Schizosaccharomyces pombe: one gene and its partners. The gene in region 2 interacts genetically with the main gene of each other region. Each region holds a gene or a part of one and is shown on either strand. Other genes may lie near its edges. The genes, in order: ubp3, elp4, san1 and SPOM_SPBC15C4.06C.

The links.
Region 1: mutations in elp4 (region 2) and ubp3 together harm fitness less than expected from each alone (positive genetic interaction), as found in Schizosaccharomyces pombe (one large-scale study listed by BioGRID).
Region 3: mutations in elp4 (region 2) and san1 together harm fitness less than expected from each alone (positive genetic interaction), as found in Schizosaccharomyces pombe (one large-scale study listed by BioGRID).
Region 4: mutations in elp4 (region 2) and SPOM_SPBC15C4.06C together harm fitness more than expected from each alone (negative genetic interaction), as found in Schizosaccharomyces pombe (one large-scale study listed by BioGRID).

What each region holds. Positions count from the first base shown.
Region 1 is NC_003423.3:3,674,337-3,682,017, reverse strand, and holds ubp3 (ubiquitin hydrolase Ubp3), read right to left. Parts: upstream 4,370-7,681; 5' UTR 4,306-4,369; coding exon 4,225-4,305; intron 4,187-4,224; coding exon 2,729-4,186; 3' UTR 2,357-2,728; downstream 1-2,356. Other genes in the region: erd2 (HDEL receptor), read right to left, coding at 1,262-1,752, 1,808-1,933, 1,971-1,992; RNA methyltransferase Nop2, read left to right, coding at 5,441-7,267; histone H2A-H2B chaperone, FACT complex subunit Spt16, read right to left, coding at 7,500-7,681.
Region 2 is NC_003421.2:1,461,424-1,468,689, reverse strand, and holds elp4 (elongator complex subunit Elp4), read left to right. Parts: upstream 1-4,299; 5' UTR 4,300-4,351; coding exon 4,352-5,437; 3' UTR 5,438-5,704; downstream 5,705-7,266. Other genes in the region: CLRC ubiquitin ligase complex WD repeat protein Rik1, read right to left, coding at 1-516; translation initiation factor eIF2B alpha subunit Gcn3, read left to right, coding at 2,684-2,837, 2,895-3,034, 3,090-3,532, 3,629-3,917; nucleoside diphosphatase Ynd1, read left to right, coding at 6,463-7,266. UniProt on the Schizosaccharomyces pombe protein: Component of the elongator complex, a multiprotein complex which is required for multiple tRNA modifications, including mcm5U (5-methoxycarbonylmethyl uridine), mcm5s2U (5-methoxycarbonylmethyl-2-thiouridine), and ncm5U (5-carbamoylmethyl uridine).
Region 3 is NC_003423.3:2,950,554-2,959,305, forward strand, and holds san1 (RING finger protein), read right to left. Parts: upstream 4,906-8,752; 5' UTR 4,489-4,905; coding exon 2,263-4,488; 3' UTR 2,042-2,262; downstream 1-2,041. Other genes in the region: SPOM_SPBC2A9.03 (WD repeat-containing protein), read left to right, coding at 607-643, 701-1,944; putative transport protein Tvp23, read right to left, coding at 5,916-6,351, 6,413-6,579; nus1 (ditrans,polycis-decaprenylcistransferase), read right to left, coding at 7,034-7,500, 7,568-7,877; hpz1 (zf-PARP type zinc finger protein Hpz1, implicated in DNA repair), read right to left, coding at 8,525-8,576, 8,619-8,752.
Region 4 is NC_003423.3:2,249,317-2,257,377, forward strand, and holds SPOM_SPBC15C4.06C (ubiquitin-protein ligase E3), read right to left. Parts: upstream 4,395-8,061; 5' UTR 4,091-4,394; coding exon 2,420-4,090; 3' UTR 2,095-2,419; downstream 1-2,094. Other genes in the region: dhx29 (ATP-dependent RNA/DNA helicase), read left to right, coding at 1-1,693; SAGA complex/transcription factor TFIID complex subunit Taf10, read left to right, coding at 5,886-6,533; SPOM_SPBC21H7.03C (multiple inositol polyphosphate phosphatase), read right to left, coding at 7,328-8,061.

The DNA of each region.
Region 1 (7,681 bases), on a different chromosome or scaffold from region 2:
GCATTTAAGCCTTTGACAGATTTTTAAACAGCAGACGGCTAAGGAGCTTAAATTCGTTTGAATAATCAATAACTATTAGACAAACGTCTTTGTGGCCTCCAAATCGTCTACCAAAACTGCTAAGGTAGAGAAAGTAAGACAACGCATATCGACGGCGAAATAAATTGTATAAAACACGTTAGTACAGTATTGTAAATACTGAATTTTAAGAAGTTACTTCGCACCTCATAATCGCTTTTAAAAATATTGAGTACGCTATAATCATCGGTACGCAACGTTACATTTTACTGTTTTCATTCAGTTTTTAAACAAATTTCGATCTTTGTTATTAAATAAGCATGTAATCAATTTGTAATGGCTATATGTTTAGAAATTATAAACTTAATATCTGTAAACAAAAACATTTTGCAAATAGCAGTTTGGAAAATCTATATATACCAATTTCTATACTATATTTTTACAAACATTTAATATTGTTTTTAAATCCTTATTTTGATTTCAGGAACAATGAATTTATTTAAAATTCAATTTTTTGCTTGACTAATTTACTTCAAGTGTTTTAATTTACGCATTTACTAGATTCTCTTTAAACTTAAGGAGATATCATGTCAGAACTTGATAGATTTCAAGTATATACTATTTTACCTGTAGTCTATCAAACACTTCCGAACATTCGCAATACGCAAATAATAGAGGAGTCCTCAATTATTATAAAATTATAGCACCGATTATTAATATAAATTTCCGTGAATTGGCGGTTATGATAATCTACAAATTTATTCTATTTTTTTTTTAATGATGTACAGTAATTCAACAATTTAGCTTGGAATGAGGCTGCTCATATTTTCCTTTTCCATATATTACATTCAATTACCATTTTAAATACCCAAACAGTTAATTTTGTTTAAATATTGCTTAATGTTTCTGTATCGTATATGAATTGAAAATTCTTTTTTTTGGTTTCTGATCATCAGTAAATCCTAAATTAATTTTCTAATAATGTACTAAAGTCTTAATTTTAATGAAAGAAAGAACAGATCGTGTCATCCATCGAGCATATGTATTACGGATAAGTTAAGTTATAATTTTTTTGCATACAAATACAAAAAAGCCCATTTAGTTCATTAATTCATTCATGAACATAGTCCTTTGACGGCGTTGCTAAAAATGCAATCAGAAACTTATTGCATCGAGAAAAAGGTAATGCAAATAGAAAAAAAACAATAAAGATTCCTTCTTTTTTCATCAATAAAAATCATAACTAAGCAGGTAATCGGAACTTTTTTCCCTGTAGAACTGTTCGGCGATATACGACTGCAAAATCACCATACAAAACGGTTTGGATAATGCCCGCAAGAATTGCAACACCGATGACTTTCTTGTGAACTGCAATACGATAAATCCAATGAGGAATATATAGTCCTCTATATAAGCACATTGCAAATAAGTAATGGGCAGTCAGGCTCTCTGTTTCACCAGATCGTTGTAACATAAACAATTGAGGGAGAATTGCAACACTTTCTAACCAAATACTAAAAGTCCATAGGATGTTACTAATGGTATAACTGGTTGGATAAATGAGAGCCAGAACTGCACAACCACCTAAGATATATTCAGTTCGAAAAGTATCAAGACGTTTGTCATATGTAGGTCGCAAAGTCATTAACATCAAGTAGCATATATAGGATTCGGAAGCTATAAAAACTATCCTCATCAAGAAATAATACAAGCTTTTGTATCTCCAAAAGAGATCTGTTAAAAAAAAGAGTTAGCAAAGAAAGTATTTTTCGAAAAGTTCAGCACATACTCAAATAACGTGTAACATAAACAAGCAGAAACAAAAGATGGGATTTGAGAGATAGTCCTGAACAGGTTTTCGATTTTTTCATTCGGTGCAAAAGCAAGAAAATAGCAGCCAAATGGGCCATATCACCTAATGATTAGCTTTACTTTGACGAAATTCATCATACCCAGTGCACTGAAAAATGTCATGATTAATTAATAAAAGTAAGGAGTGCCTATTTCAACGCGCCAGGTATTAGGAAAAAGAATTTGGTAGTGGTGTTGACAATAGGCTTAACTGCGCAGAGATATAATTGGGGTATGCAAGTGGGGGCCAAATGTTTAATAAATGCAACAAAAAAACTGTAATTTATATTCGTACTTTAGAATGCGCTGAATCAAGATTCTCAAACGATCAAATCTTTTTATTTAAAACAAGGAGTTTAGCTTGCATGAAAATTATAGAAATGGGCTTTAAAGTGACAAACTTGATGCCATAGTACTTCAAATATTACATTATGAAGCTGGACTTGACCTACTACTAATAGGACAGCAAAATAAAAACCACTTGACCCTACTTTTGGTACTGTTTTAAAATATATACTGCATTAAAGCTGCAATGAAAATTCACTTGTATATTCGGAGTAAGTTCCTAGAAAGGTTGTATTATAAAGCCGATTAGTTTAAAGGGATTGAGAGGGAACGTAATCTTAAATAGCTAAAGTTCATAAAATAAAAAATAATAAAAAATTGCTGAACCTTTTTGAGAAAATTATGTAAAAAAGATATGATAAAATTTTCTAACCGACGTTTTAAACAAAAAGAATTATAAAAAAGTGTAGTCCCCAGTTTTAGCTCAAATCCTTGAGTTGTTTATTGAAGAATACACAAAACAATTAAGGTTTTTATTGGTTAATTTTTTTTGGGAGGAAGGAATCCAGATGACCTAGGAGCGTCGTGTGTAAAACAGTAAGTATGCCACACGATCGCCGTGACCAAGTTTACTAAGACTCGGATCAGCGGAAAGTTCGGAGTTTTCAACATCATGAATAGGTACGCGGTGAATGTGTGTATCATCAATCCGAAACCAGCCGCTTTTATCAAGTTGCTGAACATCGACAGTATAATGACCACCAGACGCAGAAGTACCGTGATGATAAACCACTGCATTCAAATCATATTCCGGATGTATGGAACCACGAACAGAAGGGCTGAAAACGTTTTGTGGAATACTCAAGCGAGCAGGATAAGCAATAGGCTTATAATTTTTCTGTGTACCGCCAGATGCTTCGTAAAAGAATCGTTTAAGGTGAAGAATCAAGACAGGAGGAAGTGACTCTATATACATTTGCTTGGTAGCAGTAACATTTCCTTTCGACGAATGCCATTCCGGTAAAATTTCAGGGGCGGTCATATGCTCCAACGCATCGATAACTGAATGTATATCTTCTGCTTGAATGTCGAGTTGCAGAGGTTGAAACGGTTCTAACAAAACAGAATCTCTTGCACTCGGAACCCTTAAGGTAGAGCGCAGCTGACCACCAAAAATTTGGCTTATAGGAGACCTTTCAACAGTAGCAGATCTAGCAATTACTGGCTTTTTATTTTTACCAACTTCGGTCCAGCCACTAGCTTCTACAGAAGATTGATCATCAAAACTATCTAAACCAGACTTGATACCATTTGAAATTTTGATATCAGATTTTGGATTTCTTTCGTCATTTTTTAATAAATAATGTCTACGTTCACGCACGAATTCTTCATGTAATTCGTCAAGAAACAAATTCAAAAACTCCTCAGCATCCTCCTGTTCGCCGGTCTGCAACATTTCAAATCGAGGATTCCCCTTAGTAGCTGAATATACCACTTCTGGCAAAATAGAATCTCCTTGTAAATCAAATTTCTCAGAATATTCTCTAAAATCCCTAGAAAGCATTGTCAACGATTCAATAAGAGGTGTTGTACGTTCAAAATTATACGGAACCATCCGGTTAATTTGCTTAAGTAAATTATAAAATGGAACACAATACATTAGTGCCTGTAAAATAGAGTTCATAAAACATATATTTCCGGTATTTATAAAACCCCGAGGCTGTATAGGACGGGGTGCATCGAGGGATGGAGAATATGTTTCGATCAATTCACCAAGGGATGAATTGAAACTTTTTTTCTCAGACCTGTCAGACGGTACCGGAACAGAATGTGATTTTTTAACAGGAGAGTCTCCTTGAACATGCTTTTTCGCAATTGCAGACCACGATTTAGGCGATTTTTCAGACTCTTTCGTCTTTGATGTGACCAGAGGCATTTGCACCGAAACCGACCAATCTAAATTCTTAGGCGAACGCCTTTTTCTAGCCTTTCGATGAGGAAATTCATGTTCAGAGCATGAGTACCATGGTAGCTAAACGTTAGTATAATCACAATTTTAATAAAACATACCAGTGAATTGATAATAAATTGATTTCGTGACGAATCACTTTCCAAAGACGCGCTGTCCGTTGCAGAGGTCAAATCTCGCATGGAAATACGCACACTCTAGCAAGATTGAACTCTTGTTTACTAATTTGATGGTTGGCTGTCGTTCGCTTTGCTCTTCAAAAGACTGTCCAAAACTTTTTTTAATATACACTATACCTCGTTAATTCTTCGTATTCCACCAAGTGTATTATGGTGATATTCCACTGTAAACACTTGACCGCCTAACTCAAATTCCTAATTATTTTTAGTTGTTCTTTTTTATTATTAATTATTGAATGTCCATGCCCATCTTTAGTTATTTTTAGAGAATACGGTATATTTACATATCTAAGTACCACTATATGTATCTTAAACCACAAAAGTGATACGAAAAGAGAAAAGTAAATAGTAAATTTTAAAATTCGATATTCTGCTGTTGTGTGAACTATATATAGGTCTTGAATATATATTGTCACTCATTTTACGCCGCAGCAAATTCAATCGTTAACCAAGTCTTAATGTGATCATAATTGAAATGATTAATTGTCAAGGAGGTGAAGTAAGATGAACGAGTAAATTAAGTGACTTTTTTAAGTAAGCTGAGCAGTAAAGTACGTAGCAAATTTTAAAAAAGATAAATATAACAATAGTCGTGAATTTTTAATAATGTTAACTATGCTGTTGCTATGCGGTATATCTTTTTGTGTTTCAGCAATGCAGTTTGAATATCTGTTTAACGATACATAGAACTGCGGCAATTTTCTCTTGCGATCTACAATATAGCGGGATGCAGTATATTTTTAACTGACAATGTTTATAGGAAGCTATTAGTATCGATCATCGATACAGCTAGGAACTGTACCTCGTTCCTCAGTTCAACTGTAGCTCTATTAATAATATTTCTATAAGTTGCTATCAACGTTGCATCTATGTAGATAGACGGATAGTTTATCCTCGTGTATCAATAAACGGATCTTAAGTATTTAAACATATGGCATATAGTGATACGCAACATAGTATGTCATAGCGTAGTGTAGTATTGCTTGAAAAAATTTAATGTTCTTTATCTTTCGTAAAAGTTTTTAACAAAACTCAGCGATGTGAATAGTGGAGGTTGGACTGAAAGAATGCCAGTGCCAAAATTTTTCCTCAGCCCAAATAAACGTTTTTGGACTTCATCACATATTTTCCATAAAAGATGGGAAGAAAACAGAAGTCTAAGCAAGGAATTCCCCCAACTTTAGAGGAAAATCATAATTCTTCTCATAAAGTGACAGAAAATGCAAAAAAGAGAAAGCATTCAAAAGAAAAACCACAAAATTCTCGGAAACGCCAATTAGCAGAAGAAAAGAAATCTTTGTTTGAAAATTCGGATTCTGAGAATGAAAAAGATCTTATTGATGCAGACGAATTTGAAGAGGCTGAAACTTTATCAGACTTGGAACATGACGAGGAACCCCAAACATTTGCTGACGAGTTTATCGATGATGAGGCTAAAGAATGTGAAGGGGAGGAAGAAGATTCTGTTTTTGATTCGGATGAAGAGCATGAGGTTAAGCCTATGTTTAGCGATGATTCTGGAGATGAAGAGGATTTGGAACTTGCGAATATGGAAGCCATGTCTCGCAAACTTGATGAGGAAGCGGAATTAGAGGAAAAAGAAGCCGAGGAAGAATTGCATACCAACATACATCCTGAGGCTCCTACTGTTCTTCCACCTATTGATGGTTTTACCGATAGCCAACCAATATCTACTCTTCCACAGGATTTGAGCCAAATTCAATTGCGGATACAGGAAATAGTCCGTGTTTTGAATGATTTTAAAAATTTGTGTGAACCTGGACGCAATCGTTCTGAATATGTTGATCAACTCTTAAATGATATATGTGCGTATTACGGTTATTCTCGCTTTCTTGCTGAGAAGTTATTTGAATTATTTTCAGTTTCTGAGGCTGTTGAGTTTTTTGAGGCAAATGAAATGCCTCGTCCTGTCACAATTCGTACCAATACTTTAAAAACCCAGCGACGAGAATTAGCCCAAGCATTAATTAATCGTGGTGTCAATTTGGAACCAATTGGTAAATGGTCCAAAGTAGGTCTCCAAGTATTCGAATCCCAGGTTCCAATCGGTGCGACACCCGAATATTTAGCTGGTCATTACATCCTGCAAGCTGCATCTTCCTTCTTGCCTGTAATGGCCCTTGCGCCTCAACCAAATGAACGTATCCTTGACATGTCCTCAGCACCTGGTGGTAAAGTCACTTATGTTGCTGCATTACAAAAGAATACTGGAATTATCTTTGCAAATGATTCTAACAAAGCTCGAACAAAGGCTCTTTCCGCTAACATTCATCGTTTAGGTGTACGTAATGCTATTGTATGTAATTACGATGGCCGCAAGTTTCCCAACGAAGTAATTGGCGGTTTTGACCGTGTTCTCCTTGACGCCCCATGTTCGGGTACTGGTGTTATATATAAAGATCAGTCTGTTAAAACTAACAAATCTGAAAGGGATTTTGATACTCTTAGCCATTTACAAAGGCAATTGCTTCTAAGCGCTATTGATTCTGTCAATGCTGACAGCAAAACCGGTGGTTTTATCGTGTATTCTACTTGCAGTATTACTGTTGACGAAGATGAAGCAGTTATTCAATATGCTTTAAAGAAGCGCCCTAATGTTAAGCTAGTGTCCACTGGACTTGAATTTGGACGTGAAGGGTTTACCCGTTTTCGTGAAAAAAGATTTCATCCAAGTCTAAAGTTAACTAGACGTTATTATCCTCATGTTCACAATATAGACGGTTTTTTCGTTGCCAAACTGAAAAAGATTTCTGATAAAATCCCTACTGTAAATGTGGCTGATGATATGAAGGATGGAACAAATAATGATGTTGAAATTGAAAAGAATTCTACTGAAATTGATAATATTACTTTCAATGATGAAGCCGATAAGGAGATTATCGAGCAGAATCGTCGCAAATGGTTGAAGTCTAAAGGTTATAAGGTTGCAAAAAAAAAGGATTAGAATAATTTTGGTTAGGTTGGGATTACACAATAAAAGGTAACTGAACATTGATTCGCGTGTTACTACAACAATTATATTAATAGGTTGTCGTAAAGAGCCGGTCTTTATATTTTTGTATCAATCCATCTGGTTGTCAAATCTCAATTCAGTGGAATATTTTATTATAAAGTATTCTGGAATTTTTAGAATAAACTACATATAAATAATAAGAAAGTGAAGTAAATTTGTGAGTTTACCGGTGTCTCTTTTTAGATGGTCTTTCTTCAAAAGCATCGTGCTTAGCATCTTCTTGACGTGCTTTACGCTCCAATTCATCCCAATCTTCACCACTTTCTTCATCCTCCACTTCGCTTTCACTGTAACCATCCTCTTCACTAGCATCTTCGCTGTACTCCTCAGATTCTTCTTCCTCTT
Region 2 (7,266 bases):
GCACATATCATATATGAGATGCACTGGAAAAGAAAAAGGAAATCCGCTATCTATAGAACGGCCAGTTTTCAACCGTTCTTCGGCAGAAAGGATTCTAATACATATCATGGAAATTTCGTCAATGCTTAAAAAAATAGCACGCATCCTTAAGTCGACAAGGCAGTAGCTTTTCGCGTTGCGATTCCAAGGAAATGTAACTCGATAGCGAACTGGAGGATGGTCGACGATCACTTTTTGATAATCCTCGTCCCAATAAATCGAAAAATAAGTATCATCATTGAGAACTACAAATAAATAGTCTCTATCTAATCCTGGAGGGCGATATGGGCGTATATGTTTCACCGTAGAAAATAAAGGGATAGAGGTAAAGAATTGTAAGCCATGAACCTCACTACAGAGATAAATATTAATTTTTAAGGCTTGTAATAAAACTAAGCAGTTTTCAGATGATATAAAATGACATGAAGTCGCTGTGTCTACCGCCGTTGCCCAGAAGGAATGAACACATAAAGCCATACACGATGAAATCCATAAACTGATATAATAAAAGGAATAAAGACTTTTTTTAACAAAGAAAAAAATAAAAAAAAGAAGCTTTGAGTTGGTTCAAAAGATTATGACTAGACTTATGTGATTAAAAAACAGTTGAATACAAAAATAAAGAGTGGACGGCCAAGAGCCACAAAAGCCTAGAAAAAGGAATTCAAGATAGAAAAAATATGCTACCAAGTGACAATCTCTATCAAATCCTTACCAAAAAATTTCGATTTTGAATGAAAGTGCAAGACGCCAGTTACAGGCACTCCGCAGGGAGAAGAAACGAGATATGCAGTCTCTATACATTTTGCGCAAGCGAATTTATTGTAAAAGTTGATATGCATTTTTTAATATCAGATACTACACAAAACATTTTCTGATAATCATAAAACATAAGACATTTTCAACTTGCATCTTAACTAAGCCAAATTCTACATCAATGTTATAAATTTTAGCATTAGCCATATTGGGGGAAATCGAAAGCTATTGATATTTTTATAATTGCAAAACGATTTGATAATGTAGAGAAGATATTGGAATATGTTACTCTCATCGATGAGCAGAATTAAAAGCTATGGGAGATAACGACTATTGCTATTGAAAACAAGAACTAGGCACGCAAAGAAATATATACCTTCTTTACTATAGTGCATGGTATTAGAGTTACTTAAAAGATTATTTTAACAACTTGCCGATCACGAGGTGATTCACAGATTTATAGCATAAATGAAAACCTACGGATGTCTAGCAATAAAGTTAGGATTTTACTGAAATTCGAGTCGACAACTAAAACATAATATTTTTGTAGCATCGCTTTGAATGATTGAGCATGTAAATATTTAGATATAATTGAAAGCATAGAAATTATCATAAATGATTTTCTTTAGATGCTGAAAGTAATAGCGTTTTTTCTATACCAGTTTAGTGTTCGCGTCATCCATAAATACCGAAGTAAAATCAAGCTTAATATAAGCGAGATTTACGAAGGTTGGACTAAAGATTAGTTTCTCGTAGAAATGGTCATGAACTTTTGAAAGGTCTCTTAAACATAAAATAGTTTTTTAAAAAACTTTCTATATTACTTTTTACCAAATCCAATTACTGCTTTCATCAGTACTCCTTTTTTTTTAAAATGGAAGCGTTTTGACATATTTCGTTCATGATACGCTCAACTATTAGGAACATAGTAAATTATACTACAAATTCACTATCTATACAATGATAAGTATCGTTGAACGTTACATATTGGAAATCAACAGTCAAGCATTGTTTACTGATCACCGAGGAAGAATTTCATGATTATCCTCAGATGTACTCAGTCAAGAATATGATATTAAAATTATTCTCAATATTTAGCTTTAATTAAATATAAGCTATTTAATAAACCAATTTATATGTAAATACCATTCAAATCACCTACATAAATATCTATAGGAACATATCTGTAGATCAGTATCCAAAACGCCGTATAATGTCAGCTACGCAGTTTGGTATCTGCTTTAACGATACGAAAAACTGGTGAATTTTGCATATGATCCATTATATTATAATAGCCGGGTTATATAAGTAATGACTAAGTACTGGTATTGTACTATTTAGGTTATAATGTCACCTATCACTTATAACTGAACTGCGAAATGAGGTTTAGTTGTATCTCTATCGATTCTATCCAAATAATCTATCTGTTAATATAGTATTATCAATATCAATCTCGACATCGCATCATCTACGTTGCGTATCACTATATGTCACATGTTCTAATTATATATCGTACCATGTATGATACGATATTGAGATTGATCTTAATGATAATCTATTAAGATCTATATTATCTGAATAATATAAATAGAGCTACTGCTGAACCTCGTTCCTCAGTTCAGTTATGAGCTATATTAGTGATAGGTAACATTATAACTCAGTTAATACAATACCTATACTCAGTTGCTACTTATACAACCTGTGTATTGTAATATAATAGATCACAAGGAAAACTCACCGCAGTTCTACGTATCCTTAAATCAGATACCAAATTGCGTAGCTTACAATTTAATACAAAAAGGCATTGCCCGTTATTTGATTTTGTTGGATATCCTTAAAGTATGGAAAAGATGTTGCTACTAAGCAAGAGCGTCTAGCATCTGCGAATATGGTGGAATCGGATTCTTCGGGAATCGTTCGACATTCTCAAGGAGAATTTGACATCGTCCAGGTTTACAAAAAATTTTTGCAAGATGATCCAGAAATCACGATGCCTGTAGCCGCCATTGAGGCTTTAGTCCAGCTTTTGTCGCGCTCTCAAGGTATGTTAATTTGTAGTACTCATGTGAGAAATGAATTTACTGATGTTTTTCTATTAGCCAAGACAATTTCAGAATTTATGGACATTTTACAAAATGGCTCAAATACGCTGAAGGAAGGCGTTCAAAACAACATTTCGCTTTCAGCTGGTTGTGACATTTTCCAACGGTTTGTCACTCGATCACTACACGATGTCGGGGTATGTGTTGATGCAAAGTAGTTTTCTTTTCTTTACTAATTCTCCACGGCTTTAGGATTTTGAGCAATGCAAACGTCACTTGGTAGAAAATGGAAAACTCTTTATTCAGCGTGCTCGTGCTTGTCGACAAAGAATTGCACATTTAGGTTACCCTCTTATTCGAGATGGTAGTGTTATTCTTACCCATGGGTTTTCACGCGGTGTTGCGGCTGTTCTTTTGGCTGCTGCCAAGCGTCACGTTCGTTTCAAAGTTTTTGTCACAGAATCAAGACCTAGCGGCTCAGGCTGTCTAATGACGAGAACATTAAAAAATGCTTGTATTCCTACTTGCATGGTTTTGGATTCCGCTGTAAGCTTTACTATGAACCGTGTAGATTTGGTCTTGGTTGGCGCAGAAGGTGTTGTCGAAAACGGAGGACTCATTAATCAAATCGGTACTTTCCAACTTGCCGTTTTTGCCAAACATGCACATAAGCCCTTTTACGCAGTTGCAGAAAGGTACGTAAACGTTGAATCCATTCAGCTTACAATTATTTTTCCCTATGATCTCTCCATTTCCCTGTTAATTTTAAAATTTGTACTAACGTTTTTTAGTCATAAATTCGTGCGTATGTTTCCCCTTTCTCAATATGATATTCCCTTTAGTCGTCCTATTCTGGAATTTGATGATCCATCTCCTGAAACTGTTCATCCTGAACCTGAACCAATTCCAACTCCATCAGATGCTATTCATAACGAGCTGATCATGAATGAAGAACAAATTCGAAATAATCCTACTTTGGATGTTACACCACCCGAATTTGTCTCAGGTCTCATTACCGATTTAGGGATCATTGATTCGAAGAGTGGGGTAAGCGAAGAGCTAATTAAATTGTATCTTTAGCAATCAGATTCTCCTGATCTTAAAAATAAAATATGAATAGATTGTACTTTGAGTTGACTTAAATTTCTCATAAGTCTTGTCCAACTAGATTCGGATTGAAAGTAATCTTCAAAAATACAACAGTAATACATTTTCCGATCATGCTAATTGACTGTACGACGTAACATTTTCTATGTTATTTTGTAGTATTACAATATTATTTTTGTTTCAATGCGCCCACTAGTGAAATTTTATTATTAGTTCAACAAAATTTATCTAAAAGGTATTTTTATTGAATGATTAACTTTAGTCAACAATTTTTTATTTTCTCAATCGCAACGCTGAATTTCTTTGTTTTCTGACTGATGATGCTTAAATGTGTGCTGCAAATTTGCGTCGCGTTAACCTTTCCATCCAATTTGCTATTCCACGTACACCAATCGAAATAAGTATTGATGTCGTTCAAAAGGAAAGCAGCACCTCAAATAGCACCAACAAACTTGCCGACAGGCGTTAGACTATCTTCAAAGGATGCTAGATGGATTACAAGCTCTGGGAGTTCTTCTTTTGACTACTATTTGTCTGGCGGCATTCCAATGAAAAGTTTGCTGGTTATAGAGGAAGATTCGATGGATTATGCTTCTGTGCTACTTAAATTTTTTGCAGCGGAAGGCCTTAAACAGGACCATGTTATTTGGCTTGGTCCATCTATTGGAGAGATGTGGTTTCGTCAACTTCCAGGCGACAGCGACCGGCCTAATAAAAACGAAAATTCAGCTGGAGAGGATAATCATTCTTCTCCTCCCTCTAAAAATCCCCAGCAAGAAAGAATGAAAATTGCCTGGAGGTATGAACAAGTCTCCAAAACCAAGGCACCGACCCTTGATATGATTCCTCCTGGCTATACTCACTCCTTTGATTTGTCAAAGAATTTGATAGTGAAAAGCGATATGAAATACGCTGTTTCTCCATTCCCTTTGGAAACAGGGTCTAATCCTTACGCCCCTGTCATTGAAAGTCTAACGAGATTCTTATCTACTCTGACTCCAGGTACGGTATGCAGGTTAGTTCTTCCATCCATTTTGTCCCCAGCCTTCTATTCTATCCGTGCTACTCATCCGCAGCATTTCATAAGATTTATTCACACACTTTCATCGCTCATCAAATGCACTACTTCGGTGCACTTGATATGTATGTGTTCAGTTCCTTCTACTTTGTTTTCAAGAGATTGCGAGCAAATTTTTTGGCTAGAAAACCTTGCATCCGCCGTATTCTCTTTGCATCCTTTCCCGGTCAAAGAAACTGTTAACGGTTTAGTTACACAACCATTAGGACTTTTCCGTATCCATAAGCTTCCCTTAGCACTTCCATTTACCAATCATGCAAACTCTAATGAAGCTGGAGACCTCTCATTTACTGTATCGAAAAGAAGATTTACCATTGAACCATGGGTCCTTCCTCCACTGGATGATGAGCAAAAGGATACGAAGATTTCAAACACGAATCCTCAAAAACAGCCTGTTAAATCTTTGGATTTTTAGACAATTAAAAAACCTCTAAGTTTCTGAGTATTGAATTGGATTAAAATTCTACTCGTTTTCGTGTTATGTGATATGGTTATGGTTTGTAAATGGATTTTATAATTTTTTTTGGATGCATTGCATTTGTGTTATTTATTGTTCATACGAGTTTAAATATTTTTCATTTCTCCCGTCTAGATAACTGATCAATTATCTAAATGTTCGTCAAATGGGATAAACGTTCTCTCAATCAAAACTTTAAAACACAAGTTAATATAGAATGCGAACTGAAAGCCGTCAAATATCTCTACGAAGAACCGTTACTGTGATCTTAAAGCAAAGTGCATGAAATACTTGTAAGTAAATGACATTTTAAATCTTAAACAGTGTTAAACCGTTGAAATTTGAAGGATACAATTATTTTCTCTATTAAAACAGTTCTGAAGTAAATTGTTGATGATTGTTATCAAAACATTGTCAATCTGTTGGTACTAACAGTATTTGACATCTAAGCAAATTAAAGAGACAAATCAAAAAGTTTTCGCGTATTCGATTTTTCTCTTTAATTCTAGTCGCATTATCTTTTAAGTCAAGTGACCAAAATTAATGTGATTATTCCAATAGTCCGTATGAATGGGTCCTTAAATTCGTCTCAATTTACTTTTTTTGCATTTTGACAGAGTTCACTATATAGTGATTTACCACCTAAAAATGTGCTACCTATACATTCGCTAGTTGTTAAACATTGAGTTGAATGTTCATAATCCACTACAAACGTTCATTCAATGTTTCAATTAAGTTAAATAGAGGTTCATTGATAAGACAGATACATATATTTAACTGAATTTTATTGATGTATATCTTGGGAACATATGCCATATTGAAATTGTTCACATCGCCATAGTGCGCTTTCAACCATCAACAAACAAAAGGCAAATTGGGCTGGTTTGATGAAAATATCCATCTTCAGAGTCGAAGTTATTTAATATCCAGTCTTATAGACAAAGAGACATTTTGTTAAGAAAAATAAGTGCAGGTGGCTAAAAATGGTTCGAAAGTATGGAATTTTCATCGACGCTGGATCTAGTGGTTCAAGACTTCTAATTTATTCTTGGGACTATGATACCGATTCCTCTTTAAGTGATAAAGTAAAAAAATTACCATTAATCGAGACAGGGATTGGGGATGGTGGTAAATGGTCTTTAAAGGTTCAACCTGGAATTTCTTCCTTTGCCAATAACCCTAAGCATGTAGGGAAGAAGCATTTGAAAGAACTCCTGGATTTTGCTGCTCATGCTATTCCCAAAGATGTACATAAAGAAACTCCGGTTTTCCTAAGTGCTACAGCTGGTATGCGTTTACTGGGCGTTGATGCCCAAAACAAAATACTTTCGCATGCTTGTAGATATATTAAAAAGAATTACGATTTCGACATACCTAATTGCTCAAATTCAATCCGTGTAATTGATGGCAAAGCTGAAGGTATGTATGGTTGGCTAGCTACGAACTATCTCCTTAAGACACTTGAAGAAAAAGATACGTCAACGGTTGGTTTTTTAGATATGGGCGGTGCGAGTGTGCAAATTGCTTTTGAACTTCCCCCATCTCAGCTCAAAAATTACAAGGATAGTATTTCGACCGTTCACATAGGACTACAAAATGGTCAGCAATTGGAATATCCTTTGTTTGTTACTACCTGGCTCGGTTTTGGCGCTAATGAAGCTTACCGCAGGTATTTGGGACTGTTAATAGAAAGCGAAAACGGAAAAGTTGGCAACACTTTAAGCGATCCGTGTTCCTTGCGTGGACGAACTTATGATATCGATGGGATCGAATTTGCCGGTACTGGA
Region 3 (8,752 bases), on a different chromosome or scaffold from region 2:
TTGGAAATTGATAGAGTTGCAATGTAGATTTAGATTGCAAGTGTTTCTCGTACATATTACTCAATGGAGACGTCCACCTTCGGCTTCGTGAATCAACTTCGTTCTCTATATTCTGAAGGATTTCATTCTCTTCAAAAAACCTTAAATAAATCCAAAATAATTAGCGAGCTTTTCTTTTCAGTGATGCTTCAGCATAATGGTTAATGTTTTGGCCGTACCTCTTTAAGTATGTATATTTGTTTAAATTCAAAACGATCAACATTGGTGATTTTTAAAACTTAGAAAGATCAATTGGAGGTTTTCGTCCATTGACAAACGAAATTGGCTTTGCAATTTTGGTTACGCCTCTGTTTATGATAATTTTATACCTTTGAGCTAAAGACCTCTTTATGCTTATTTTGTTTTCACTTAGGTTCATACGTATAAAATCTTTAAGATTAATTGCCGAAAATCGTTAGCGAAAGAGTCAATTGGTCCTTGCAACGTCGATTGTCCTTCTCTCATTTCTTCCATGAGGCGATCTTGTCCTTCTCTAATTTTTTATTTGATTTCCTTTTTGTTCTACAGCCATACAGATAATATTTATTTTAAATTAAATATTTCTATATGTCCAATGGAGAATTTATAGACCAGTATTTGCTTCGTAAGTAAATTAAACGTGCAGTCCGTTGGTTGCTCTGAAAGCTAATGCTAAAACTAGCTGAAAGTGGAGCTATACTTCAAGATTATCTAGATGATTATTTTTACACTTCTTGGTATACAGGAAACCGGAATTTAATTCAGTTAGACCACTATGGATTCCCCACTGCATCAAATTTTGAATTGAACCCAAAAAGCACCGATAATTGTGGGACAGTGGATTTTCAAGGAATTCCCTGGGGAAATAAAGCAATTGGTAAACGGAAAAACTTTCGTCTTTATCGATTACACACTTATAGCCTGTCTTGCAATCATTCAGACTGGTCACCCGAAGAGCTATCGCTAGATACTGTACAAGTCGCCGCTGAAGACTCGTTTTATGAATTTCAAAGATTTTTGAAAAATCCTAATTGCTTGCGGAATCATCACCATCTTTGCAAAAGCGTAAAGGTGGTTGGTGAGCATTCTGTCATTTATGTGAGCAATAACAGCATCAGAATGGAAAACACATTGCATGATAATTCTGTTCAAATCATTGACCTTAAGAATAATATCCTTCAGAAAAAAGCGATATCATGTTTGGATACTACAAATGCCGTAGGATGTCTGGGAACATTGTATGGACAATATTGTATTTTCAATTTTAAAAACGGAAGTTTTAGTACTCGTAAGCTTTCAGATGATTCGATTAATCATATTCAACTTTTTTCCGAAAAAAAATTCATCCTTGGCTGTAATGATGGTGCTGTTTATGTGGAAGATGTCCAGCGTACTAGCCCCATTCTTGTTTACAGGTGTTCAAATGCTGTTAACTGCGTCCAACTTTTTGATGAAACTCCATTAGCGCTTGTATGCACGGATTCGAAAGACGCCATGTTAATAGATATTAGATCAAATTCCGTTTCAGCCAAACTTCCCCATTCCGACTCTGTACTTACTGGTTCGTGGCATCCAAATGGAAATATTTTGGCTACTGGAGGACAAGATACAACGGCTAAAGTTTGGGACATACGTGCCCTTGGTAAGTCGTTTCGAAATCTAGGTAGCCAAATGAGTGCTGTGACGAATTTGTGCTTTTCTCCATTAGGTGAAAGCTTAGCTGTCACGGAACAAGCCGATTTTGTTCAACTTTTTGATACTAAATTATTTAATACATCCCAAGTTATTGACTTTTTTGGAGAAATCGCCGGAACCGCTTACTCATCTTCTGGCGACAGTTTATTTATTGGTGTAGACGATCCCATGTTGGGTGGCATTTTAGAATTTAGGAGACCTTTACAACATCCGCTATCTTTCATATTTTAATTCTTTAACTCATTGAGTCATTTAATCTTATAATAATAAATTCCTTGGTACCAAACAAAACTATTAATGAACGTTGAAAAAAATAATGAGATTTTTTGTAATAGTCAAATAATCATTTAGTTTATAGGAGAGCAAATAATATAGATGATAAGTATTGAGATATAAATAATACAAAAACAATAAAAATCTATATAGCATGAAATATTGATACTCTAAAGGGACATCACCAAATTTGTATTGAAGATTTAAAAAGGCATAATAAACAAACAACTATATTTTTCATGATAAAGATAACAAAAGAGTAAAAAAACACAAACATTACTTATGCTCTTCATTACGACATTTTGGGCATTCTCCAATTTCTTCGTCCATTTGATTTTCGGAGTTGCTAGTAGATTGCTGGCATCTTTCATGTACTGAATGACCGCATTCGAAGTGCACAAATCTATCATTAGGATCACAAATGCCTTGATCCTCAAGCTGACACTGAGGACGCGTTGAGCTAGGTCTGCTATACGGATGATGCCGATTTGATCGTCTAGCAATCGGAGCAGCCATTCGAGGAGTGCTAGTTCCCGACGAAACCTTGCTAGTATCACCGGCATCACTACCAACAACGTCCGACGGAGTGGATATCGCAGGCTGGTCTACCGCAACATTACTCAAGGTGTCTACAGCAATGGAAGAATGGGTAGGAGTTTGATTTCGTGATCCTGCAACTTCACTCGAGTTTTCGTATTCGCCAGGAATATTTATCTCATCGGAAGGTTGTCGCCCGGCAGTGTCAACATTAATGCTGCTTCCAGCAGCTGATTGCTGAGCAGGGGTGCTCGATTCACTTCTAGTTTGATTCATTCGATTCTCCATTTCTTCCTGAAACCTTTGCAAAATGCGCTGCCCCATTTCACTGAGATGGGTAATACCAGGACCTTGGAAAGAGCCATTGCTTGGAGGTCTACTTGAATCTTCCATCGTAGCATCTGTACTTCTAGTACCTTCCCTTGAAACCGCTTCAGAAGGAGTTTCCTGTTCGCTAACTGCAGGTTGTAAAGGCGGTCTCGACAAGTATATATGAATTACTGGATGAACAGCAGGGGAGGAACCATTATTTGGTGTATTTGTACCCATAGTTACAGCATTTTGCTGATTTAAATTCTGTAGATTGGGAACTGCGGACGTAGCGTTGCTGTTGGTGTCGTCAGTATTCTCTGGCAACGTTTGACCGTTTTCAGTCTGCGCATTGTGATCGGGATGGAAAATTCCATTTAAATTAAGCAGGTTATTATTACCGCTAGGACGGAACATAGACTCAAGAACAGCTGGTAAATCGGCTAATGAAGGAAGACCATGGAACGTCATTAACTGTGTAAAAGGCCTTTCAGATCGATTCGTATTTGCAGGGATATTTGTTTGGCTTCCAGGAAGCCATGAAGTTGATTCAGGCGAAGCCGTTGGAAGATTTAGCAAATTGGGAGGCTGTATTGAAGGTGACGGCTCAACTGGTCTAGCTGGAGCATTTTGAGAGGGCAAGTTACTAGTTGGCAAGTCTGTGGAAGTACTATTCGTCATACTACCAGAATTAGAGGTAAGATTCGAAGTCATAGGTTCATTAGAGGAAGGGCGATCAGGCATAGATGAAAAGAAAGCATTAAATAAGGACGTAAGCGTCGAAGGACGAGAATCCGAAGGAGTAGTCTCTTGTCTAGAGCTAGCATTTTCGGCATCAATAGAGGCACCTTCTCCTGCTAAGGGCTCACTACGAGTAGTAGGTGTTGAGGTGTTTGAGTCAGGGTTTTCAGGGTGAGTATTTTCAACAGGGGTATTGGTGGCAGATCGATTTGGAGCTAGAATAAAACGTATTCGGTTAAAAGCAATGCGATGCAGTTGCCGAGCTGGTTCGTCTACGCCGGTTCGACCATCAGTGTTTGCATTGTTAAGCTCCTCAGATGGATGAAAGTCGGAATGAACACCATTTGATGCATTTTCTTGAGAAACCGCGGTGTTGCCTTGGTTGCCACGAAGCGTATGTGAGTGTGGAATGATAAATAAAATAGGAGGATGAGCTGAACCTACTGTTTCGTGGGGAACCTCTTTTCTACAAAGAGGACATGTACAATGATTTTCAAGCCATTTTTGTAAACAATTTTTACCGAATATGTGGCCACATGGCATCTTGGTAGCCTGCTTTTCATCATTTTCATTCATATCATCGTAACAGATCGGACAAGTCAAATCCATCAGTTGGTCATTAGACAAAGGTTCGAAAGAATCCCAGGCTTCTTTTACAGCGCGTTTTACGGGTGGTTGAAAGGGATTGGCAAACGGATCATTTTCTCCACCCTCGAAATTGGCTTGAGGAGTTATGATAAACATTGTACCAATTGAAAAAGCAACTGGTTGAGTCCCCGTGGTAGGGTGGGTACCTTCTTCACCCTCAGTTGCTTCACTGTTTGGATTACGATTCAAATAGTCATCATGCCCTTCAGATGATTGTCTCTCGTTTGATGATGCATGAGAATTATTCTCATTTGTATTGGAATCCATTTAAAACAGATAATTGTAACAGGAGATTCTATACAAAAAACTAGTACCTCAGTGGTCTAATAATAAAACCAAAAAAAAGAAATAAAACGACCACAATAAAGTCGAATCTAAATAAATAAAGCAGTACTCAAAATAAAAACAACAAATAAGACAAAGGAAATATTTGTAGGAGACTTATTATATACAAAGGAGGAATATGGTAAAATATGATTGCTGCGGTAATAAAAAAACAGGAATCAAAAATTTAATGGTAAGGAAAATGTAACATTCTCCATCGGGGTTTTCTGGCCACTGAATATTTCAATATTTATTTAGGCAAGCAAAAAAAAAAGTAAATAGAAAATAAAAGACGTTATAGAATGTTATAAAGTGCACCTTTCCACTTAAACTATCTTTTAAGGTGCAAAATGTGGTGTTGAACAAAATAGAAAACCAGGGACTTCCATTATATATTGCCAATAGAGACAGTGAACATGTGGGCGTTCATTAGGACATTCAATACCTTAATATTTTTAAGGAGTTATAAAAGGTTCTCCTTATTTGATAGTTGGGAGGTTTGTTGACATAAAGCATATGAAAACCGAAATTCTGCGAATCGTGTAAGAAACCGCATATCCTTGAATTTATAATTGACATTTAAGCTAATGCTTTATATATGTACTAAAAAAATGATATGCTCTTTAGTAAAGGAATCATCTAAATACATATTTTGCCATTTAAAATATGTATATTAGAAACTAACAATTACATATTCTTTCCGCTTTTATTATGCTGTTATAAGAACTTCGTTTCAATATATGTTCATCACTAATAAGAAAGTATTAAATTTTAAGTTCACAGCAAACACACGCAGGAACATAGTTGTCGAAATAAAAAGTAGCACCAAACTTTGAAGTTTCGTTCATCGGTATCTTATTAAGCACTCCATGCGTAAATATTTGAAGTCTAACTAAGAATGTTATCAATGGAAAAATAAATGTAGTGGGTTTCAAAAGATCTCAGTTGGCCTTCATGAAACTTTGTGTGATAGTATTAACCATAAAAGAATGTATGAATAAAAGAACGTAATGTGCACCTAAAAATAACCATTGGGCTCTATTCAAATATTCAATCAGAAAAGAAGATATATGCTTGAAAGTAACAGTATGGGAGGTTATATAAACTCATACTAAAATACAGGATCCGTCATACAGTCTTTTGGCTTTTGTATTATAAAAATACGTAATCAGTTGATGCTTAAGGATTCAAATTGACGCTCTGTCATTTCAAAGTTGGGAAGTAAAAACACAATATCGTTCCAGCGCTTTCGTCAATTTAATTAACAAGCAAATCGTTAAGCCAGAATCCCATGAAATTAGCTTTTTCATATACAATGAGCTTAAAATGCAATGTAGTTCGAAAAATTATTTACAGAATTTGAAAGAGCTTTAACCAATAAATCTCTTGATAAAAGCCCTAGATAAAAATCTGGAAACAAATCCAGAAGAATTGGAATCTGCAAGTTCTGTAGCCCAACGACGCTTCGCGTCTTTGTCACAACGACTGTAAGCAGCGGTGTTAACACTTGTCAGTCCAATTGCGACAGCAACGAGTGCAAGCCAGAGAAATTCAAATCGAATTATAGCTACAATCCCCAATATGATCCAAATAAATGGATATAGATAGAGAGCGTACCAAAACGTCTTCTGATCAACGGCGTTTCTGGGACGACTGGGATCTGCCGATTCGAAAATCCAAATGCTTTCACCATCAACTCCAGTTTCATTTCTCCATCTCAAACCAACTAGTAAACGACCAGAGACGTTTTTAACAGTCCAAAGATCAACAGCTAGCAAAGTGAAAATTACAATAAACAACAACATACTATTTTTATTTGTTTAGCTCAATTTCTTTTTCTTTTAAATTTCTGCTATTAAAAACTTACAAACTTGAGGTAAAGAACATGCCCAATATGTATGCCACAATTGCACCGGTACGAAATAAAAGAAAGAAGAAAAGAGCTACAGGATGCGAAGACATTTGAAACATCTGCGGTAGCCTACTAGCATTCCTTTCCTGCTCGGCAATTGTCTCCGTATTTTGATAGTCCATTTTCGTCAACGTGATATGGTTATCAACGTAAAGGTTTCGATCCAAAGAGGTGAACATCTCAGCAGGGGTTTGACAGTATGCGAATAAGGAACCTTAACGAAGATTCTTATTGTGTAGCAAGCCTGGTTTTCTAAAAGATCGTATTCGAAAGTGAATGTTTAGTTGTTAATTTAAGTTTTATAATATTCTTCTAACGAAAATGTTTATTAAATTTTTTTAAAACTGTAATGCATATAATATCCAAAGTATGAATCTGACTGCCTGTCTGTTTAATTTTGTTAATGCCTATCATCTAAGCATTTGAAGTAAATTAAATTTTTCTGTAATACTGAATTCCTAATTTTATTAACAAAATCCAAAAAGCATTTTAGACAAGAAGTAACAAAAACCTCAAGAAGACAACTTGATAAATTTTTGGTAGCTTTTGGCTTTTCATATTTAAATTTATAAAACCTCAGTGCCCTAACCGCATTTCTGCATTCGAGTAATGAACAAGTGCTTTAAAGAATGTTAGGTAATTTGTTGTATATAAAATAGGATCATGAAATATTTCACATAATCTAAGCTGCCAAGGTGGAAATCCTTGCAACTTAAGCAGAGGAGCAAATATGATTAGTAAGTCTGGTTCAGGTATTACGCTCTCCTTCAATTCTTTATCAATCAATTCCAGTGTAACTTGGGTGCTACTGATAACTTTTTTAGTACATAAATCCGCTAAACCTCTAGTTAAATCGATGATAGCATCTCGACCATCTTCTTTCGCTATAAGATGAACCTTTAAATCGACACAGTCATTTTGATTTTTTTCATCAGGAGAGCAAGGATTAGTTACATGGACGGTACACTTGTCACCTCCAAGATAGAATGGCAGGTGAGAGTAAATAGCTTTTTCAACAGCTTCGGGAGATTGCTTTAAAAACCCTAAAATCTGTTAATAAATGTAATCAAATAGTAATGGAATTTCAAAACTTCAACTGCAATTATATACCTTTACGTTCATAAATCGTAAGTTCGCGAATATTAGAACAAACACACCAAGCAGATAATTCACAAGCATCATGAATAAGGCCCTCTATACCTCCATCTTCTACACACTCAATAATAACGGCGATGTGTTTTGGTTTCTTCTTTAATTTTTTCGTATCGCGTCTTATAAGATCTCTACTACAATGGTGATGATACAAAAAATTCAGTAAATAACTGCATGTCCAAAAAACCCAATTTTTTGCCCAATCCCAGGCACCATAAACGCTTTGTATAACCCATAAAGCTAAATAAAAGAAAATATCATCATACATGTTTGTGAACACTGGTTGTCAGAATTCGAACCTATTTAATTTAGGTTGAACTCTGTAGTTTTTTTATATTTAGGGGTATAAATTGGATTTTAAATATGAACAAACAAACTTTTTAAGTTTGAAACTTCCTAGGAACAATTTACAGCTATGAGAAGACAACTGGCGATGTTTATGAACTGCAGGCTGCAATGTTGGGTGGTGTGCTGAGGTACTTTGTGATACCAACACGAACAATGAAAGCTGCTCTTTCTGAAAAAATCGATGTATCGAAGTTTTATCTTTTTTTGTTATAGGGTATTTTTTAAAGTTAACTCTAGATAATTCGTACAAATGATATACAGTGTCTAGCCGTATGGAATCAATACCTTGTGTGGTAAGATAATTCACTATTTCAACAACTTCTTTAATAAGTGCGAATTGATAAGAGGATTAGAAATTATATTAACGGAGTTGTGATTCTGAGTATTTTTAAAGTTGCACCAAGGCGATAGAGTTTAATTTGTAAAATAATGAAAATGACATGGACTTTATTATTTCATAAAAGTATACAATTTAATTAGGATCGAAGGAAATTCCATGTAGATAAAGATTCTGCTGAAGTGTTAAAAAAAAACAAGAATAAAGCAGAAATGATTGAAAGCATGTTTTTAATCACTGTCAGAATATTCATTTCCGCTTTCTGCGTAATCCACTTTTCGCCTTTTACTTGTATTAGTAGTGCTGCCATATAATTTCACATACCTTGCAGACCGCCTAGGTCGCTGGGAAGCAATAGTGGAGACTCCTTCTGTTTCATCTTCACTATCCTTAACGACTAACTCATCATCGTCTTCTTCATCGCCAGACCATGGTTTTTCTTCCTCGTCTTTGTCAGA
Region 4 (8,061 bases), on a different chromosome or scaffold from region 2:
TGCCATTGTTGAAATGAACCTAATTCCAGCTTGGTATAACGAGAAAGCCATTAACTATGGTTTAATCGTTTATCTCTTAAAGTATATATTCACTGAAGGAGATCCGAAATTCAGTAAGTGTGTATTAGTATTCTTACCTGGTATTTCGGAGATCCTTCGTGTAAAATCTCTTATCGAAGATATGCCTATGTTTCGAAATCATCGTAAGTTCTGTATATACATGCTACACTCTACACTATCCTCTGCGCAGCAACAGTCCGTTTTTAACATCCCTCCCAAAGGGTGCCGCAAGATTGTATTGTCGACAAATATCGCTGAAACTGGTGTTACTATTCCAGATGTCACTTGTGTGATTGATACAGGAGTACATAGGGAAATGCGTTATAATAGTAGAAGACATCTTTCTCGGTTAACTGATACATTTGTATCTAAGGCCAATGCCAAGCAACGTAGTGGACGTGCTGGTCGTGTTCAGGAAGGTATCTGCTATCATTTGTTCTCAAAATTCAAACATGATACCCAATTTTTGTCTTACCAGACACCTGAAATTCTGAGACTTAATCTGCAAGAAGTTGTTTTGCGAGTAAAGATGTGCCAAATGGGTGATGTACAAGATGTCTTAGGCAAGGCGTTAGATCCACCTTCCTCTACCAATATTATTCGTGCTTTAGAAAAGCTTCATCAAGTGGGAGCGCTCTCTGAAAACGAAAAATTAACAAAACTCGGCAAATTTTTGTCGCAATTACCTGTTGATGCAAATTTAGGAAAAATCTTGGTTTTGGGATGCTTCTACAAATGTGTAGATGCCGCTTCTTCAATAGTAGCCATGTTAACAATCGGTTCACCTTTTAGGAAATCTGTTGACAATGAATTTTCTGCAAACAAAGCCCGATTATCATTCGCTAAGGAGAATACCAGGAGTGATTTAGTTTTGATGTATTATGCTTACTGCGCTTGGCGAGAGATTTGCCTTTCACCTTTAGGCCCTGATGAAGATTCTTTTGCCAAAGAAAAGTACTTAAATTTAGAGGCTTTAAGTATGACAGAATCACTAAAAATCCAACTGCTTTCTGAGTTGAAGGATATGAAACTTTTAGGCGCTTCGGATGTTGATACTTGCAAAAGCCTAAAACGTTCAATATGCCGGCGTTTTGCCGTTATCCCCAAAGAGCATGATATTAACTCAGGAAATGCAGAAATTCTGTGTGGCGTAATTGCTGCATCTCTGTATCCAAACATTTTAAGGTATGATTACGAAAAAAGACAGTGGTCAACCTTGAGTACCAACAAGCGTGTTAGAATTTTAGATGTATCGGTGAATAATAGGTCTGAGTTACCTAACATGCCGTCCAAATTCGTTGCTTACACGAACATGATGTCTTCCACTCGAGCTAGTGAGTATGTTAATGAAACTACTATGGTTACTCTTCGCCAGCTTCTAATGATGTGCGGCCTTAAAGTCGAAAATAGAGTATCAGTTGGACAAGCAAAGCTTGACAACTTTACAGTATATTTTGAAAATGTTTACGTTTCGGCATCTTTAAGTATTTTACGTCGCTTTATTGAAACTTCTCTAAACGAATTTTTTGCTGAACCTGATAAACGCTTATTGAATTCCCATCTTGAGGTTATTGTTAACATAGTTTCACGGTTAAATTACGGAACCAAATTTCAGAAACGTCTCAAAGATTAATGAAAGTATCAAAAATGAAATATCAGAAAGTTGGTTTTCACATATCTGCTTAATGACAGGCAAATTTTCTTTCCATTTGGAAAATGTAAGAATTATGTTGGTTGAGCATAAATGTGTAAAATGGAGTTATCTAAGGCTTCATTGCAGAAACTGATGGCTTTTCTATTTTATGAGACACAATTCAGAGTATTTAATTTTCTCAAATCCAAAAATGTCAATTATTATAACTGTATATCGTTTTCTTAGAATATCAAAATAGGTCTCTAAATGAAAAGAAAAAAATATTTACATATGCAATTTAGCATTAGACCGGCTAATTTGTAAAATACTTAATAGTTTTTTTGTACCTTCATCATAAACTAGCAAGCAACATGTGTATTAAACTTTTTATAGTAAACAATGACATGTATAGTAAGCTTTTATATAGTACTATAGAATTCATACGATAACACAAATAATAGATTAGAACGATGAGAAATAGATAATTAGCCCATTAAAAGATGCAAGAAAATTATGAACTTAAGGAAGCGTAAGTTTTCTTCGTCGTAGGAAGAACTGAACAATAAGTATGAGTATGCGTATGCGTATAAAGACAAGCAAAATATTATAACGTAAATGAATGAGAGTCGAACAAAATATGCTAATATAGATTATAAAAAAAATTATCCTTATGAGTAGAAGTACAGGAATTACTCAACCAATGGAGAAAATTCATAAATATGCAGTTTAAACATTGTCCTCGGAAGCATTTTCCAACATGTTTGTAACTGACTGTTTACATAGGGGACAAAGATCCGAATTTTTTAATAAATAAGGATCAATGCAAGCCGGATGAAAGATGTGATGGCATGGCAGTTCTCGATAAAGAGGACTTTCTTCTGAATACTCACACAAGCAAATAGTACACTCCCTCTGATCGAAATACTTACTCCCTCTTTCGGCTGTAGTAACCACATTTCCCTGTCCATCAAAACTTTCTGATTTGTCTAATTTCCAATCCTTTTCATAAACCAACTCATCATTAGGATTGGCAAGATGAGGCCCCGAAAACATTCTAACGGGCAAAGTATCGAGCATTTCTTTAGTAACACGATTTTCTGGTTTGTTTGGTCCAATATTCACAATTCTTTCTTGAACAGGAATTCCATGACGATTTAAGAGTCTATAAAATCCATTCATTGCACCAGAAAAGTGAAGGCAAATAAAAAGGCCTATGACACCGATTAAACCCAATAACACACCAATGAATATATAGAGGCCAAGTAGCTTTGGTTCCTTGCTGATGATAACGCCCAAACGGGCCGTAGCATCAATGTTTCCAAAATATTCGACTAATGCTCCACCATCCTGCACCGAATTTAAAGAAGAAGCCGAGTATTCGTTGAGAATCTTTTCAAAAGCGATGCCGTTTTCGTAAGATATGAGTGCCATTGGTAATGTTTCAAAGGTAATCATATCTACAGCATCTTCAAAGTGGTCAAAATTGGTTAATGAATTACTAGCAGTGCTTGCATTATAAAATAGTATTGCCTTTGCTCTATCCTGGACAGCCTGCAATACATGCATTGGAGCACAATAGTCAAACGGCGCGAATGCGATTAAGCCAGAACTTCCCATATTAGAAACATCTCTAAACCATACGCTTCCCTTGGTATCAACTTGAAGTGACTCGGTGTCATTGCAGCTACCATAAGGAGTAGTTTTATATATAATTCCACGAAAATTATTCTTCAGTTTAGACAAGCTTTTGTAATACTCATTCAAAAGGACCGTGTTGTCAGAGTGGAAGTAAAATGAGACATTTTTTGGAAGATTTGAAACAACATTCTTGTTGTTTTTAACAATAAGAGTAGTTATGGTTAGCGGAAAGAACTGATTGTATTCGACAGCATTCATAATAATAGATGAATTTCCGTAATATGAAAGACCAGAGCTAACATAATTAGATATTGCAGTATTTGGAGCATTGCTGGAATAAGCAGGGTAATAATCATCATACAAGGAGATTGAACCAGAAGTAGAGGACGACCTTGCAGAACTAGTACTAGAATCTGAATAAGATTTGGGATTTGATTCACTGGAAACAGAATCCGAGTCTGATTCACTAGAACTGGACATAGAATCTGATTCATCATGACTAGATCTTGAAGAAGAAGTGTGTTCACTAGCATGCCCACTAGTATGGCCTCTTCTTAATGATCTAAATGAATAAGAGATTGGAGTTGGCGAGATACTTTCGTCCTTTGGCATTCGATATCGCCTTCTTTCATTCCATAGTTTACGAATTGCATTAAACAGCCGCTTTCTCCTCTTTACCTTATTCTCTTGTGAAACATAGCCTCTGTAAACTGCATTGCAATCCAGATGATCAAGCAACTGGTTATTACACAGATGCATAAGAACCTAAACAAACTTTAAGGCACGAAGAAACACAAAGAACTAGGAAACAGGAGGTTTCAAGATTACCAAAAAACAAACCTGCTTTGATACCAATCTTTCTAAATAATGAATCAAATTTAATGGTAATTGAAAGGTAAGCTTTCAATCAATAAACAGACGTTGAGTGGTGATATCTCTAAAGCAGGAATTGTGGAACACAATTAATGAAATTTTTTAAAGGAAATTTCAAAAAATTAGAAAGTAAAAAGTGTGATTCTTTTAACTTATACTAGCTCAAGCTTGAAAACCACAAATTGGTGGTGGCTAAGTAATGAACATCTTGAGACATATTGCGTACATAGTACACAATACATGTGATATACATGTGGAAAGCAATTGTTATTATATTTTCACTATGAGCAGTATACTTCAGTGAAGAAGTTTTTTAATGAAGGAAAAACTATGAAACAAACAAAGCATAAAGTGCAGGGCGAGAAAAACAATCGTGAAATAAAACAGCTTATTTGTGTTTGGTGATTCGACAAGCGCTTTAAACAGGTGTGAGAAACTAAATAATAATAAATGGTAATTATAAGAAATAAAAAAACGAAGAAGTGATACTTCAAAAAGGTAAGCATAGCTGGAGAATTAATGATCAGAGAGAACTATAATAAATAAATAAAAAAAGGATCGCTTAGCGATCAATTAAACAATAAGATATCCTCCTTAAACATAAGAAGCAATTTACTAGGAATACGTTATAGGATTTAATGTTGTTTGAGTATACTTTGTAAACTAGTATAAGGATATAATTATTGTGATATGCTACCTCGTAATTTAGTATAATTTTATGGAGTTCGTTTAGTACAGCGGTTACATATTTGTTTAAGAAGGCTAAGATATAATATACTATATAATTTTATATTTTACTGTATTAACTTACAACTGAACTAGGAAAGGGTAGTTTGTTCGGTTGAGATATTTCTTCAATAATTGTATTTTCCTAAAGATGTTTTACTCGTCCTGATCATTAAAGATCAGTAGTATGGATCCGACAGTTTTGAAATGAAAATAACAATAATTAGTAGTGATATCTAATGTAGCTTTGATCTGGCTTAGCAATACATTATTGGTAAAGTATGGGGAAATGGATTATGTAGTTTGTTATGAGAAATAAAAAATGTGCACCAAATTAATCTCAAATATCCTTTCTTTGCGTAGTAAATTTTTTTATTTGTTTTAAACACATATTAACTGGAAGTCATGTTTGCGCAAACTTTAAAATGCTCATCTCAGCAAATGAATAACATTGTAGTTTGAGAATAATAATTACTTTTGAATACATATGTTCAAGTCCAAGAAGGCTGCCATTCAACTCTAAACTGAACATTTGCTTATAGAAGCAAAAATTGTAGTAGATACCAACTTCGCTCCGAACTCTATATAATACCGATTTTAAACAACACTTTTTACCAGAAGTTAATTAATCTTATATATTAATTTCTATTATTCAACTAGCATTATTCCAAGAATTGGAATTATTTACTTTTCGATCTTAGCCCTTATATACGTAAATAACAATGCTACTTTACCACGAATACAGAATATAGTCCACCTCCACCATCCCTATTTTAGTTGGCCTAGTGGTTTCTTGAAACACTGGATTAAAGTATTAAAAGTTAAGTCCATAAGCTAGGGAAATAAATTTCCTATTATTTCCAATAAGTCGAACGATAAATCAAGGAACCACGGATTTGAATCAAGTTGCAGAAAGACATTCTTTGCTTTACAACATCGGTCAAATAAAGAAAGAATGAGTGACATTAACAATAATGAGCCAGCTGAAAATATTGAACAGCCCAAGCAAGAACCAGAAGATGGAAATAATTCGATGAGTGTTGATGAACAACCCGAAACGTCTTCCACAAATCTGCCAACTGGTGACAATCTCGCCCCAATGAGTGTAGAATCCCCTGCACATTTAAATAACGAGGATTCTCCCAAAAGCGATGATTCTAGAGAAAGGCATGGCTCGAATTATGTTATAGAACCGCATTTAGAATTGCGAGATATGGCCAAAGACAAAACACTTGAAAATTTCTTGGCCCAAATGGATGATTACTCTCCCTTAATTCCAGATGTGTTATTGGATTATTACCTCAGTTTATCTGGATTTAAATGTGTTGACCCACGCTTAAAAAAGCTTCTTGGTCTTACAGCTCAAAAATTTATTTCTGATGTTGCTCAAGACGCCTATCAATATTCTAAAATCCGAACCGGTAGTAGCAATGCATCTTCAACTACGTTTGGTGCGCAGAATTTTGGAGCCGGAGGCGCTTCCGGGATTGGATCTAGCGGAAGAAGAGGTGACCGTGGAAAAACCGTGCTCACTGTAGATGACTTAAGTGCCGCTCTTAATGAATATGGAATTAATTTGAAAAGGCCCGATTTCTTCCGTTAAAGACTTTTTATCCCACTAAGGCCACTTGTGTGAGACCCTTACTTAATGCATTAGTGGAACTTTGTTTCTGAAATCTCATTTTCCTATAAAATTTTTGTTTACTAATTGTTGTTAATTCTAACCTTTTACACTTTTTTGAAATTATTATGTATTTTGAAGATAGCACATTCGGTTTGGCGTGGCATTGTTGATGATCATAATTTCAAAACATTTTCTCATATCGATCCATTTCAGCAGTAGTTTTCATATGAGGGATTATTTATCTTTATATTTTATAAAATTTATCATATGTATCATAGTTACTATTTTCTCGCTATCACTTGCTGAATTTGTTTTACACTGATACTCTCATTCAACATTGATGTAGTAAATGTTTTCTTCGTTATGCTACTATCTGCATTTTGAAAAGCACTTCTGAAAGTGTCAATTACGCGGTCGACAGCTGCCTCATAGTATGTCAGAACCTAACATGCTTCTAATTATAATATGCATTGTATATAAAGTAAAAATTAATATAATTACAGTTACCAGTACTCTTTCAAATAATGTAATGCTTGAAACCTTAAACAAATACAGACTTCTCAAGAAAAATCACTGCCTTCATCTGGCAAAGGAAGATTATCAGTTCCTACAAGCAAACATCTTGTTTTGATTGTAGGAAGGAAAGTACTTGGTATTCCTCTTTTAATTAAGTCTAATATTACCCAAAATTAAATAAATTGATTATAATAAATTATAGTTTATCCTATTCAAAGGATCCATTCTGTTTATTTAAACATTATAGCGCTGATAGTTCAAAAGTAAATGGTAACGTTGGTAGGACGCGCTTGACATTCTGTGTTGAAAATGGAAATACCATTAGAGGTAGAATTTGCCCGAATCGGTGAATTCAAATAAGCCTGTAACTCGCAAAGTCCATCAGAAGTTCCACTAGGTCCATACCCACAATCGATAAGGGGATAAACTTGCTGGTTGACGAGATGCCGTACATAATATTTGCTGTCAGAACAAAAGAACAACTCAGTAATTAAATTTCCAGCGAAGGGAACGAATGAAGAAGTTTTCTGGGAGTATGTATAAATGTTTTTATCAGTCGGCAAAGGATTTTGCGGAGTAATGTCAGGAAAGAATCCCAAAGCAGCTTCCACAGGAATGATATTAGAATCATGAGTAAATGCTAAAAATACTTTACGATCGAAGTCGGGATTAGTCACATTACGAAGTGAGTCTGCAAGATTATTTATATAGGCCCCACCTAAGGTTGAAGCCCATTCGGAAACAGGACCACCTCCATATGCCTGATCGAGATCTGAGTCATATTCAAAGTTCAAAAATTCTGATGGGGTAAATATGGAACAAAAATCACTGTGATCTTTTATAGCAATTTCATATTCGCAGATATAAAAGAGACTACGAACGTCATTGATCGTAAGTTTATAACTGCTGTCAAAATATTTAGCCAAACGATTCACAATGGGCTCAATAAAAATATTGCGCCATACAGCATGGGCAGCATCAGTTGCATTTT